Linked DNA regions of Schizosaccharomyces pombe. Changing the gene in region 1 together with any one later gene gives a genetic interaction. Each region holds a gene or a part of one and is shown on either strand. Other genes may lie near its edges.

The links. A genetic interaction does not mean that the proteins touch.
Region 2: mutations in ngg1 (region 1) and gid9 together harm fitness more than expected from each alone (negative genetic interaction), as found in Schizosaccharomyces pombe (2 studies listed by BioGRID).

What each region holds. Positions count from the first base shown.
Region 1 is NC_003423.3:1,581,951-1,590,433, reverse strand, and holds ngg1 (SAGA complex subunit Ngg1/Ada3), read left to right. Parts: upstream 1-2,035; 5' UTR 2,036-2,091; coding exon 2,092-3,747; 3' UTR 3,748-3,842; downstream 3,843-8,483. Other genes in the region: upstream binding transcription factor, RNA polymerase I specific, Hmo1, read right to left, coding at 1-853, 1,046-1,075; transcription factor TFIIA complex large subunit Toa1, read right to left, coding at 4,017-5,006, 5,048-5,149, 5,195-5,212; hrd3 (HRD ubiquitin ligase complex subunit), read left to right, coding at 6,190-8,331. UniProt on the Schizosaccharomyces pombe protein: Component of the transcription coactivator SAGA complex. SAGA acts as a general cofactor required for essentially all RNA polymerase II transcription. At the promoters, SAGA is required for transcription pre-initiation complex (PIC) recruitment.
Region 2 is NC_003423.3:399,821-405,986, forward strand, and holds gid9 (ubiquitin ligase complex subunit), read left to right. Parts: upstream 1-2,713; 5' UTR 2,714-2,875; coding exon 2,876-3,103; exon of another isoform or gene 3,104-3,165; coding exon 3,166-3,687; exon of another isoform or gene 3,688-3,737; coding exon 3,738-4,202; 3' UTR 4,203-4,393; downstream 4,394-6,166. Other genes in the region: plg7 (1-alkyl-2-acetylglycerophosphocholine esterase), read right to left, coding at 1-864; tho4 (THO complex subunit), read right to left, coding at 1,345-1,863, 2,024-2,090, 2,197-2,321, 2,375-2,443, 2,485-2,529; SDA1 family protein, read right to left, coding at 4,442-6,166. UniProt on the Schizosaccharomyces pombe protein: Component of the GID E3 ligase complex recruiting N termini and catalyzing ubiquitination of proteins targeted for degradation.

The DNA.
Region 1 (8,483 bases):
AGCTTTTGCGACGTTTCTTTTTTTCCCTTTTCGCTGATGGCGGATTGGGGCTAGAAACGATTTTGTCAGGAGAGGGTTGAGGTTGAGAAACTGGTTCAACATTGCTTGTAGGTACTGTTGAACGGGTGTGCTTTCGCTTCGGTTTCTTAGCATGCTGTTCTTTAATGTCAGGAGTGGCTCTAGAAGCTTGAGCCAATGGTCTGGTTTCTGAAAAGTCTATCAAATCTTTTTTAGTGGGAGAGGATAAGTCTTCTGAAGGTTTAGTAGAAGTTTCCTCAGCCGTAACTCGACTATCAGCAACTGACGCATTTTCTTTAGAAGCATTATAAGCAGCCATTTCTTCTTCGTAGGCTTCTCGAAGTTTAGAAGCTTCTTCTTCGTAAGTTTTCCGATCATCTTCAGATAGCGAGCCCCACTTTTCATGCATCGCTTTATTCACCTCTTTAACATCGTTACTCTTCTCGCCCAAAGACTCCTTGATTTCCGATCGTTGGTTCTTCTGAAAGAGATTATAGGCTGATGGAGGGCGCTTTGGTTGTGCAGGATCCCTAGCCTTGCGCTTGTTTGGGGTCATGGAGGCTACAGCTTCCGACGTATCGACTGCGGAGGTTGCCTCAACAGGAGCTACTGCTGCAGGAGTAGCTTTCTTAGGTGAAGTTGCTTTTTTAGAAGGAGACTCAATTGCCATATTAATCTCTTTCTTCGCATTTGATGGATCAGTGACGGCTGGCTTAAAAGGTTTCGAAACCTCGGACTTCTCTCCTAATATCGAAGGAAGTGATTCTTCGATCTCACGGCATGCGGTTAAAGCTAACTGAAAAGCTTCCGCCAACCTTGTGAAAGAACCAGAAATCTAAGACGGCAATTTGTTAGATAAAAACCAAAAACCAAGCGGATAACTAAAGAAAATTTTGCATTTAATCATCAAACTTTTCAACCAATTAAAAAAGATTATTTTTAGTAAATACTTGATTTAAATCAATTTTTTGAATCATAAAACATTATGTTGGTTCAAAACACCAAAACTCTTTAAAATATCACATACCTTTTCCAGTTGGGTTGAGTTTTGAGCCATCGTACTACTTAAAAAATATTCAAAGTTTCTAATACAACTAAAGCTTCAATACGATGGCAAATACAGGAAATGGTGGCTGACCTACCGGGGTGATGGCGGGAATTTAAATCTTAGCGGTTATGACGGTGGGTGGTTGGTTAATGCTGGAAATGCGAAGCAGATGAAATTGCTTCAGTTAAACCCACCAGTTCGGTTGAGCTTTCTTCACATTTTATTATTATTACAGTTTATAGTTATTTAATATATGTGACAATTGTTATTGTTGAAATTACGATGGTTCAGTGAGATATTTCTTCATGTGATTCTGTTGAGTGATATAATGAAAATTACAAAAGACAATTGTAGTAAATTAAATATATAATAGGAAAATATGAGAAAATCTACAACCGAGAAAAATTTTTTTTTTTTTTTTTTTTTTTTTTCTTTTTCTAATCTCAATCCACTAAATTTGCTGAGACTTACAGTCAAATAATGTCCCATAAATGGAAAGAATAGCAATAAAAACATCCAAAATTTAAAAAAAAAAAATGATAAAACATTTTCTTGTAAATATTTACCTCTTAATTAAGTATAAACAAATCCTATTCCATTGACTCGTAGATCTATTTCATGATATCTTGTGAAGCTGCAACTCTGTTTATCTAGTTCTTGCGCTAGACCAATTGGTTTAGAAACTATTAAATTTAAGATAAATTTAATTTTAAACAAACCAAAGATCACTTATAGTGTTCAAAATACTTCGCAAAGCATATTGCTTTTGCGATGGATTCACTATGAATAAAATATATTGCTGTTTAATTTGGTTTGAGATATCATATTCGTAGCAATTCAACGCTGTTCTTGATTAATATTTCTGAGCACCGTTATAACAATGTAACAAGTGGTATACTAGACTTCGCTAAAAGTACGCCATCATCGAAATCCGGTATAAAAAATCACCACCTCAGTAATGAATTTTTTCGGGGGAGAGAGACATATGTAAATGTTGTATTGTTCACGATTTAAATTTTTTTGGGATGTCCTCCGAACAACAAAATGAAGCTGATTCGAAACCCGCGGTGATTCCTCAATGTTTTAAAATTGAAAATCAATACGAGACCTTTTCCCGTCTGAGTGAAACGTCAACTCCTGGTGTTGTACCGTCTGTGTCGACATTATGGCGGCTTCTGTTTGAGCTGCAAAAAATGATTGAGTGTGAACCGTCTTGTGTAGAATATTTTCGCCAGCGCAAAGAAGAGTTAGAGTCTCATGTCGATTCTGAAATAGAAACCTCAAAAGACGAATCGTCGGTTAATAAAGTGGAAGAAAAAGTAGAAGAATTTAAAGAAGACAACGTTGAACAAGAAATAAAGCAAAAGCGTTCTCTTTCCGAAAGTCCACAAGAGTCTATGCTAGAAAAAGTTTCCAAGAAGCCCAAAGTTTCAGAGGCCCATAATGAAGAAATCAGTCCCGAAAATGTGGAAACAATTGAGAATGAATTAGATTTACCGGTTAAGGGTAAAGATGAACAGACAACTGGGTTGGTATATAAAAACGCAAACGATCTTCTAACCGGTTCATTACTATCTTTCATTGTTGACGATTCCTTCTCTTATGAACAAAAAAAGAAGCTTTTATGTGTAGATTCCTTTCCAACCAGTGATGTACGATCGTTGGTGGCAGGAACTCCGGCGACTGATGATTTTTCTCACAACAAGCCAAATAACCAGATTTCAATATCAACCTTTTATTCGTCACTTGACCCATATTTTCGTGCTTTCAATGATGATGATATTGCTTTTTTAAAAAAAGGATTTGACGTTTCGTCTTCCTATAATATTCCTCCTTTGGGGGAACGCTATTACGATTTAACTCCGGAAGATGAAATGACCAACCTGTGTGCTAACTCAATTTACCAAAACCTGCAAACCTCTGCTCAAGGATCCCTTGAAGCTTTTAATGAGGCAGATACCGTCTCTGAGGAAGTTAGGTGTGGTCCACTCACTGAACGACTAATGGCTTCATTAATTCCTTGCTACACGCAGAATGATGAGGAGCAAAAACCTTCTATTGCTGTTGGCGAATTTGCGGAAACCGATTCTGGATCCGAGAAAAGCAAAATTGGTACAAGCATTGATGGAATCGAGTCAGGAAATAATGAATATACAGAACAACCGGATATACAAGAGTCGAGTCTTTCAATTTGTGAGGACCGCCTTCGTTACACCCTAAAACAACTAGGTATACTTTATGATGGCGATGTAGATTGGTCAAAGCGACAGGATGATGAAATTTCAGCTACCTTAAGGAGTTTGAATGCTCGTTTGAAGGTAGTTTCTGATGAAAACGAAAAAATGAGGAATGCGCTGTTACAGATGCTTCCTGAGGAAATGGCATTTCAAGAATTCCAAAATGTGATGGATGATCTAGATAAACAAATCGAACAAGCGTATGTCAAACGTAACAGAAGTTTGAAGGTTAAAAAGAAACGTATTGTTACTGATAAAATTGGCTCTTCAGCTACGAGCGGCTCTTTTCCTGTCATCAAATCATTGATGGACAAGCGCTCAATGTGGTTAGAAAAGCTTCAACCTTTATTTCAGGATAAGCTTACGCAACACCTTGGTTCGCCAACTTCTATTTTTAATGATTTATCGGACCACACTACATCTAATTACAGTACATCTGTATGAAGCGTTTAAAATTTGAAAGTGTATATACTGTAATTCTATCATTGTGATCTAATTTAATTGCTTGCTTTAGTGAATAAAATTTGCATGAAATAATAATAATACTTTTAACCGTAGAATAGATTGATGTGCTCACTAAAATATGATAGGAAGATTACTTAAATGCACTTATAAACATGATTCATGAAGAAAACAAAAAGGCCAAAAAGAAGAATGATTGATAGATAAAATACGTCCATCACTTTTTGAAGCAAAACACCTAAAGTAAAATTTTAAATCCATTCAAACTCACCATTCGCCTTGAAAAATAAGTAATCTTTTCCATTAACGCCAACTACGCCATCTCTGAACACACATTTCCATTTATTTTTGTGGTGGTTCACTTTGTCATAAAGACAAAGAACGATAGCCTGTCCAATATCAGAACCTTCTTCAGTTTCGGGAGCCTCATCTGAATCAGGATCGTCTAAATCTGAGTTAATTGCTTCGTCAGAAGGCGTATCAACAGGTGGCTTTTTTTCATCTTCGTTATCTTCTATAGTGCCGTCAATTTGCAAAATGCGATTCTTTTTCAAAACTTCATAAATTTCAGCATCAGCTTTCTGTGCAATAGCAAATCTATTACTTTCAAAATTAGAAGGGCTCCCAGCATCATCTAGATCATGAATAGCACCATCGGTTTGAGGCACGTCATTACGAGAATTAGCAGGGGTGGTATTAGAAGACTCTGTCTCTCCTAATTCAGACTTTTTCGGAGAGTTTTGATTGGGAAGTAACAATCCGCCAAATGAGTTAGTAGATGAAGAGTCGGGAGCATGTTCTTGGCCCGTAGAAGTTACATTTGCAGTCGAATGGTCGTTGATAATCGGTGAGTCAGCAGTTTGATTAGTGGGCAGTTGCAATGAGTTAGAGCTGTAAGAAGGGAAGGGGGCAGTATTATTAGGGTTGGACTGTACGTTAGGTATTGCAGAGCTGTCAAACGAAATATTTGTTGCTGACTGGGGGAGAGAGGGAGTAGGTGGAGAATAATAATTTGAATTACCATGTTGCTGCGCAAATGTATCCATCTGCTGAACAGCACGAATAGCGGCTATATTATTAAGTATGGGAGAGTTTGCAACAGCTGGAGCAGTAACATCTAATGAATCTGTCCTCAAGCCGCTAACTGGATCAAACAATTGACCAATGGGAAATGTGCCAACAGGAGCTTGTGCCCAAGGAAAAGTTGCAACATCGGTAGCAACTAACTTGCTTTGCCATAACTGTTTTATTAGAAAAAGACCTAAACTTCATAAAACCGTACATTTTGTAATTCTCGTAAAGTTGCATCATCAACACCATTTTCTTCAAAATCGCTCCGTGAATTAGCAATCACGTCTAATATCACGTGGTGATAGACCTCACCCTTGATAAAAACATTAGAATAACACTTAAAACAATACTAACTTACGACGATCGAATTGGACATTGTGGTGCAGTTGGATGCGTAGTTCGTAAAAGGATACTTAGAAATAGCGGTAGGTGGACCGCCGCCTCAAATAAGGAGATACAAGGAAGCGATACATTCTCTAACGCGAAGAAATATACTACAACAATTATAGGCGAGTAAATAAAAAATCAAGTACATGTCTTACTTCTAGTAACAATGCGCCGCTATCAATCACTCTGCGTTGCTGTTAAATGTCTAGTAAAGTGGAAAATTCAATTTTTTACTGTAGACTTTTCAAGTTTGTGAATACCGAAATTGGCAATATTAAGTGATATCTTTTAACTGCACAAGTTTTCATAAAACTAACGTGATAATTTAGCTTATTTTCTATAACTAATTTCATTTTGTAAATTTAAAGTAAAATGATTTGTTTTAAGTAAAGGTGCTTGGTAAAGCAACAATACTAACATAATATTTAGCTCAAATAAAATCGGCTTGAGAATGAAAGATTTAAATAACCTGTATATTCGGTATTTGATACGAGTTTTACGACAATAAGACGATATCACGAAATATCATTACTATTTGCGATTATTACTCTTCGCCTGGTAATATTATAAATTATATTACAATATGGTGTGTATTATCATTATCGAGAAAGCGATCCTGAATGATTTATTTGAGGTTATGATAAAGATACGAGTACCGAAAAGGTATTTTCTTTTAACTTTGCTAGAAAAAAATGATAATTTTGGAAATTTAGGTTAAAAGACAACAGACAACAATTGGAAGGATGAATATTTCTGACACCATGTAAATGTATTTACAGTCTTCTATTTACAAGCTTATTGTTATTCAAACAACTTTGCACTTATTCAGCTTCCAGCGCTATTTCTTTAAGCCCTCCATTCAGGTAACAGAGTCACCGATGATATATAAACTCACCACTTTGGAAATTGAACGGTTCTTTTTAGGAGGGAGGACGGACAAGAGGCACACTTTCAGTAATATTCTTGATGCAGTTGCTTAACTTCCTTATATGTCTGTTCTTTATTTTTAAAAGATGCGTGTTTACGGTAATTGGTGGTGAATTTTCTTATGACAACATTGATAAGAAGCCAATTCTCGTGGCTTCGTATCCTGAAGGGTCGAGGTTTAATGTATCAGCGTCTATTAAAACGCTTCCTGATTTAGTTACTTTAACATTTCCGAAACTCGTTAAAGATCCCGGATACGTATATGAAGAAGCTGAAAAAGGAGATCCGGAATCACAATTTTTAATTGCCATGCTGTACGCCATGGGGCCTGACGAACGCTTAGGTTTATCGTTTCCTCGAAACGAACCGTTGTCTCGAATATTCCTTGAACTATCGGCCACCCAAAATTATACGTATGCTTTACTTGCCCTTGCATATAAGCACCTTAATGGACTTTCTACACCGATGTCTGTGGATAAGGGGGTTGAGCTTTATAAACAAGTAGCTCATCAAATATCATGCTTAGTTCAACCCTTGTCTCATTTTGCTCCTGATATAGCAGCAGAATATCCGGTTGACCTATATGATTTATCACGTACTTCAAGCTATAGTGTTCAGAAAAAAGATGACATCGTTGAATACTTAAAGGACTACGCTTTACGTGGAAATAATATATCGGCCCATATAAGCCTTGCTACGATTTACCAGTACGGAACTCCTGGTAAGTTGAAGGATATAAAATTAGCAGTCAAACATTATCTTGCAGCTATTCGTTTAGTAAATTCTGGAATTCCAGATTCTCCTTCTGAAGCTATAAAGAGTATTCACAACAATCCAAGACATGCGCCAACCACGAAAGAAACTGCTAACAGTTTATCAATTGCAGCTTTCAGGTTAGGCTGTATGGCTCTACATGGTGAACTTGGCAAACCAGATCCATCTCTTGCGTATGCGTGGTTTGAATATGGTGTATCCTTAAATCATTCTTCCTCTAAGGCTGCGATTGCCTACATGTACTTTATGGGATATCCTGTGGCTGAAAACACTGAGTCAATCACAAAACTTTTAGAGAATGCATTGGCTAGCAATGATCCTCTTGCTTTTGCTGTAGCTGGAAAAGTGTCGTTAGCGAATGGTCAAATAGATGAGGCTACAGTACATCTGATAAGAGCTGTATCTAATGGGCATCTTGAATCTGTATTGCATATTGCTGATATATATTATGGTTCCAATAATCAATTGTCAATAGCCTACTATGAAAACTTTATTTCTCGAGTGTTGGAATTGTTCGACGTTAAGACCATCTCTTTTGATCCACTAACTAGACACTTTGCTCATCGCCTTTCCGCCGAGCTCGGTAATTTAATGTCGCAAATTTTGGCAGCAAAAGATCGAGATCCATCTACTTCTTACTTAAAAACCGTCATTTTTCCGACAAATGAACAAACTCATCGTAACGCACGGATTGCGATGAACTATTACTCTCGTGCGGCAGCGAGAAATCACATCCACTCGCTTATAAAAATTGGAGATTTTTACAGAATGGGTTTGGGTACCTCAGCAAAACCTGAATTGGCTTTTTCTTATTACTCTCAGGCGGCTGCCATTCATCCTTCTGCATTGGCTTATTGGCGTCTAGGATGGATGCATGAATATGGAGTAGGTGTCCCAGTGGATTTTGAAATGGCAAAGAAAAACTATGATAATGCTTTAATGCACGATACACGAGCATTTTTGGCTGTGACCTTGGCACGTTTAAGAATGAGGCTTTCTTCTCCCGACAGTTGGTTTTCTAATATTTATCGCATACTTGGAAAAGTCACTTACAAATTTTTGAAGCTTGTGCAATATTTTATTATAAATATTTTTGACATACTAAGCCCGGCAGGTCCGGACTCACAACTTCCCCCAGAACCACCAACACTACAAGTAGATCGTACACCACAACAACCTGACCCTCAAGAAACGTCTGAGTCCTTGCCCTCGCCTAATACTGAAGAGATGGGTGAATCCTATAATGATATTCGTTTCACTTATGATTACATTGATGGAAGGTTTTTGGAGACTGCGTGTGTCACGCTTATTGTGGTAGTTGTCGGACTGGTTTTAATGAGACGCCATCAACAGCATCGACTTCAAGAACGACGTGAGCGAATCATCCGTAGACAAAACCGCGCTTAATAAAAATTGTATCTTCGATTTTTTTGCGTTCTAATTTAAAATTTTGTTGCTCGATGGATGCAGAATAAAAAATATATGTATGTTAGGGTTCGTCGGTGATTAAATCATGCTTTGAATAAATTTTGTTTTTCATCTTTCAATTGGTTGATCTA
Region 2 (6,166 bases), 1.2 Mb from region 1:
AATGGAGCACTTAAACTCAGTGTGAAACATATAGTCATTATATAAGGACTTGGTAGAAGAACCGGAAATGAATGCGCAAGTAGCGGCACCAAAAGAATGACCAGCAACAATCAATTCTCCTTGAGCGGTATTCAAATTACCCTTCATGGATTGGAAAACAGAATTATAAAAAGAAGAGTCCACAGAGCAAAGAAAGGGTAAGTTTTCGTCCGGAGTTCCAAGGTCATTGATATTTCGAATCATCTGGAGGGCTATTTGGATTTCCTGCTGTCGAAATAAAAGTCGTTCATTCTGAAGCACAACCGTAGCGTCTGCATAAAAGTCGCTTATCTCGCGATACTGAACAACGTACGGGGGTTCTTCAGGATGTAATGGATCACGCACTGTAGATATGATGGCCGAGTTATCTCTATGCTCCATGGCCAAGACGACGATACCATAGGAAGCGATTGTACCACATAACGAAGAATACACATTTCTCGAGCCAACCAATCCATGGCTGAAGATAAATACTGGCAGTTTCCCATTGTTCGGTGGATGAAACAACTCTCCTTTGTAGACGGGCAAAGCTAAGTTGGTCAAACCAGAAGCGAACGCACGAAGAAGCCACCAACGAAAACCTTTCGCAACTTCGGGTATACCCTCATGGAATGGTAACCAAAGCTCATCGGTGCGAGGCTCTACATCTTTTGTTGGGTCCAATGGATAAAAAATGCGTACTTTTACGGTTCTTAGTTTGTGTTCAATGGTTTTATATTCACATCGAAATTCCTCTGGAACACTCAGCTCTAAGACTAAAGACCCCACAGGCAAGGGACCACAGTAGGCAGGTAATTGCTTTTTCGAAGAAAATCCCAATCCCATTTCTACCTAACAAATAAGAATGTAATGTAGAAATATATAAATTTATTTTATTTTAAAGAATGAAAGATTGTGTCAAAAACGATTCAATCAAATTACAAGAGCACAGTGATGATGTATTGTTAATTGCTATGATCACTGTAGTAGGAATAGAATGGAATAATGCCAGAAACAAAAACAAAATATCTCTTTCGTTAACAAGCACTTATAAACATAAATAAAAAAAATAAAATTAATAAATTTTTGGCCTTGCAAGGTAATATGAATCTGTCTGCTGCAAATTTTAATTTTTGGTACGATTCGTACGATTGTGGTAGAAGAAGGAAGACGATGGAAATTGACGAGCATCTATATATAAAGTAAGGGGTTATGATGAAAGATGTCCTTTTAGCCGGTTCGTTTTTATAATGTACAAATCAAAGCAATTGACTCAATAATCAACTTTTGGCATAGGAAAAGGGTTACTTGCACAGCAATTCGAGCTTAAACCGCTTCCATTTGGAGGTCCATCTCCTCGGTCAAATTACTATCTTTTGAAGGAGCAACAGGCTCGTTTTTCTCATGAGCATTGGCTATTGACGGTGTGAAATCCTGTGATGAGTGAGATGACACAGTTGAAGCAGCGTGAAATGACATTGCGTATTCGTCAAGTTCTTTGTCTAAATCTTCGTGTGAAATTGAATTATTAGAAGACTTTTTTGAAGAAGAACGAAATGATCTGTCGTCTTTTTTTGAAGAACGGTTGAATCCTCGGTTCGAACGAGAAGACCGGCTTGGTTTGCGGGCTGAATGTGGCATGTCGGAAATCCGATCGAATAAGGAAGGTGGAGACTTTTTCGAAATTTGAATTTCGGAGCCCTTCAAGTTCGTAGATTGAAGCGTCTTCTGGGCATCTTCAGCATCTTGGGAAGTTTCAAAGTAAACATCGCAGGAGCCTTCAGAGCGACCTGCACGATCATAGTTCATAATCACGCGAATTGGATGGAAATTTTCAAACAAAGACTTAAGAAAAGGTTAGTTTATTAATAAAAAAAGCGATTCGAAATCGGAACAAAGCTCTACTTAGCTTGACAGGGAGATTTTTTGTCAGGTTCGTTTCATAATCTTCAATCGAAAACTAAAAGCGAGGCTTTTGAAAACATAGTAAACATATATCACTTACCAAAACATCTTTTTCCAAAACCTGATAATGTAAGTTTTCCACACGAACCCCAAATCGATTTTCTGAGCTAAGATTGCTGTGTTAGTATATAATGATAATAACAGTGCATGTAGACTAAGAGCTAATAGAGTAATAAAAAAGTTTACAGCTTATCTTATAAATTCAAAACATACTGTTGTCTTTTCTGTAGGTGAGTGGTCCTTGGATGAGCATCCTGCTCTTGATCCAAGTCATGCTGCCACGGGCCATCGTCTGGACTAGAGTTGTGTTCTTTTGATGCTCTTTTGAATTTGTAGGTCTTAAAAAGTAAAAAATTAGTAAATAAACACTTAATCCTCGAAATTAGCATACCAATCGCGATTTTTTGGAAATACGATTTTGAGATCCCCTTCGCCGACTGTGCTTGTGATCAAAACCATTCTAGGATTGTTAAAACAAATATCGAAAATAAAAAAATTTACCGTTCTTTCATTTATAATTTCGTCCAAGGACTTTTCCAGCGACATTTGAAAATTGGTACTTGGCACGAAAATGTCGACTGGTAAAAATTAACCCGGGGCATTCCAAAAAGGAGATTTCCATACCAATTGCAGATTTTCCTGACATAAATTAATATATGCACCTCTTTTTTTATTGTTTTTTAGCTCTCCTTATTTTTCATTCATCTTGCACTACGGTCCTAGAAAGTGTATCTTTCGCCAACAACCCATCGTCTTTCTGCAATTGCTGTTTTCCTTACATTTAAACAAATTCTTCTAATTACTTTCTTATTCTTAAAATATTCAATATTCTTTAGTTGATTTAAATTTTTGGGTCCATCTACCAATAGTTTGTTAGACTTTGCCTTCAAACATGAATTTTCGTCCAGAGCAGCAATATATACTTGAAAAGCCTGGTATTCTTCTCTCTTTTGAGCAATTGCGCATTAACTTCAAACACATTTTGCGGCACTTGGAGCATGAATCGCATGTGATCAATTCCACATTGACAACGTTGATCAGTCAAGAGAATGCATCAATGGATGAAAAAATAGAAAAAATAGATTCTCTCCTTTCAAGAGTCAGTACTGTAAAGAAGAAGGTAAGTTTGATTGATTCTTTTTTTGAGTTGGATATTTGTAACTTACATGGTTCTTTGTGTAGATGAAGCATTTGCATGATTGTGAAGCTCTGTTTATCAAGCAAACTAAGTCACGACTGTTGTTCATGAATCGTCTTCAAGGAATTCGTGACATGGAATCTGCGGATTTTTTAGATTGGTCAAGAGTCAGACTGAATCGTTTAGTTGCTGATTATATGATGGCGAATGGGTACCATGGGGCAGCTGCTCTACTTTGTAAAGACTCTCAGTTGGAGAATTTGGTTGATTTAGGCATATATAAGCGTTATCAGCTCATTCACGATTCCATTCTTCAACAGGAGCTCAAAGAGGTTTTGTCTTGGTGTTCGGAGCATCGAGCAATTTTAAAAAAAAATAATAGTACATTAGAGCTTGAGGTCCGACTACAGAGATTTATAGAATTAATAAAAAGTAAAAAACTTTGCCAAGCCATTGCATTCGCCAAAGCGCACTTCGGTACTTGGGCAAATGAACATCCTGCTCGACTACAGCTAGCGGCTGCCCTACTAGCTTTTCCTGAATTTACGAATGGTTCACCATATTCGGTAAGTTTACATTGAGAGACCTCTGCTCTTAGCTTATACTGACAAATTAGTTGCTTCTATCCGATGACCGATGGGAATATTTGGCTTCCTTGTTTACCAGCAATTTTACTGCCGTTCATAATATACCGTCTGTACCTCTTTTACATGCATTGTTAGCTGCTGGTCTATCTTCCCTGAAAACCCCGTTGTGTTATCTTGACGCGAATGATGATAATCCTTTAGCATTACAATCCCAGACTGTGAAACAATGCCCTGTATGTACGCCCTGCTTAAATGACCTTGGCAAAGCTCTTCCTTATGCCCATATTACTCAGTCTGCGATAGTGGATTCTCTGACAGGCGAAGGACTTGACAGCGACAATTGTCCTGTTGCTTTCCCGAACGGTCGAGTTTATGGTATCCAGAGCCTCATAAGTTGGAACGAAGCTAATGGGACTAGAGAAGGATTTCTTAGAGACCCTTATTCTGGCAAAGAGTTTCCATTCCAACTTCTTCGTAAAGTTTATGTGGTTTGATACTGTTTATTCTATAACGCATTTTCTGTGAGTTAAGGATTTACACTTTTTATGATGACGCTACGAGATTTATATGTTTATCTTTAATAATGATAGTAATTTATATTATTAAATTCACTTCCAGTATCCACCTTTACCATAGGTTATCCCTCAATCATGTAAACCCAAAACCTAATTAAATATACCTATATAAGATGCCCCAAAAGGAAAAGCATAAACCGAATATAGTAATCAATATCTTACTTTATTTTCCTTTTTTCACGAGCTACGTGTTCTCGTAAAACTTTTTGCTTTTGAACAAGACTTCGTCCAGCTTTACCTTTTAATTTATGCTTAATCATCATAAAGTTCTTGTTACGTTGTTTTCTTTTGTTAGAAAGACTTGTTGGGTTAAAACCTGCCTTTTTAGATGAAAATTTATCACGTCCTTCACGTCCTTCCATGACACTAGCAATACGGGCTTCTCGGTCGTTCTTAGCCTTTTTTCTAGGACCTTCAATTTCATCAGCCTCAACGGCATCGTCTGGCCTCTTTAAAGAACGCTTAGGTCCATTGACGAGACGATCAACACCCGCTTGCTCCCTAAGCTCTTCCAACTTTTTCAAGTCATTAGGTGTCAAAATAGATTGAGACGCAAGCTCGGTCATTCTATCAACTAGTTCCTTTTGTGAAGAAGATCCTTTCTCATCTGATTCTTTTCTTGCAGTGGCCTTCTCTTCCTCTTCATCGCTGTCACTTAATTCAATATTGTCATCACTATCGACATCGATCCAGCCACCACTATCATCAGAATTCTGTCCATCTTCTGAAACTTCCCAATTATCCCAATCGTCTCCATTTTCTCCTTCTTCTCCGTGTTCAGCTTTATACTGAGCTAAAAGTTCCAATCCTTGGATTCCGTGGGTGACGTTTAACTCCTCACCATACTTCAAAGGTGTACGATCTTTCATCTCAATAGAAGCAAGCTTACCACGATCCTTTCTTTTCAACATGTCGGGAGCAACTTCACGATACAGAGTGATGAGACTACGACTAGCCATCATAACACCTTTATCCTTACTAGATTTGTACTCAGTTAGATCCTGAAGAAGGTCGGGAGTCATTGCCAAAGGCGCACGAGCACAAACTTCACGAATAGCATTAATACCAGCACAAACAACCTCATTGGCGACACCTGAAGTAACGAATTCGTCGGCAATTTTTCTAACTAACGGTTCAAGCGCATCTGGAGGTACGAATTCATGGGAAGCTTGAGCGAGACATGCTAAAAACTGAGTAACGTCTCTCTGGTGGGGTGTCAAATATTTCATTAAAAAAGAATAAAGACCTAGGACTGTAAGTTTGTGAGAACCTACCAATCTGGTAAGGAGTCGAAGGACCACCAGTTTTTGATCCATTGACAGACGGCTTTTTGAGCTAGCCAAGTGCTTTTCAAAAAGTTCTTCGGCAAATCCTTGAGGGTCATGAAGAAGCTGTAAAGCCGGAAAGTTAACGTTTGTGGGGACGTTTTGTTTTCCTCGCTCTTTCTTCTTTACAACTGCGCGAGCACGAAGCAAAGCAGCCTCACGGGATTTTGTCTTTTTATTTACATTAGCTTGATGCAAAAGCTTGGAAACATCTGGACCCTCATCATCAGATTCCTCCTCCTCTTCTTGATTGTCAGCACCTAAGAAAAAGTAAATCCCTGCAAGCATAACTTTGGGGTTTGATGATAGTGCGGCAGATTTCATGATGTTTACGGCACGTGCATCACCGGACCAAACATTCCTTTTCCATAAATCACGAACCATTTTGACAGCCCAAACACCTGATAATTCACTTGCTGAATATTCTCGCTTTTGTCCAGAATAATCAGTATGTGTTGCTGAACCACTACCCGAACCGTCAACCAAAGTAAACAGAGCAGACTGAACAGCTTTATTCAACTTATCATTTTTGGCTTGTTTATTGGCATTCCGAATGGT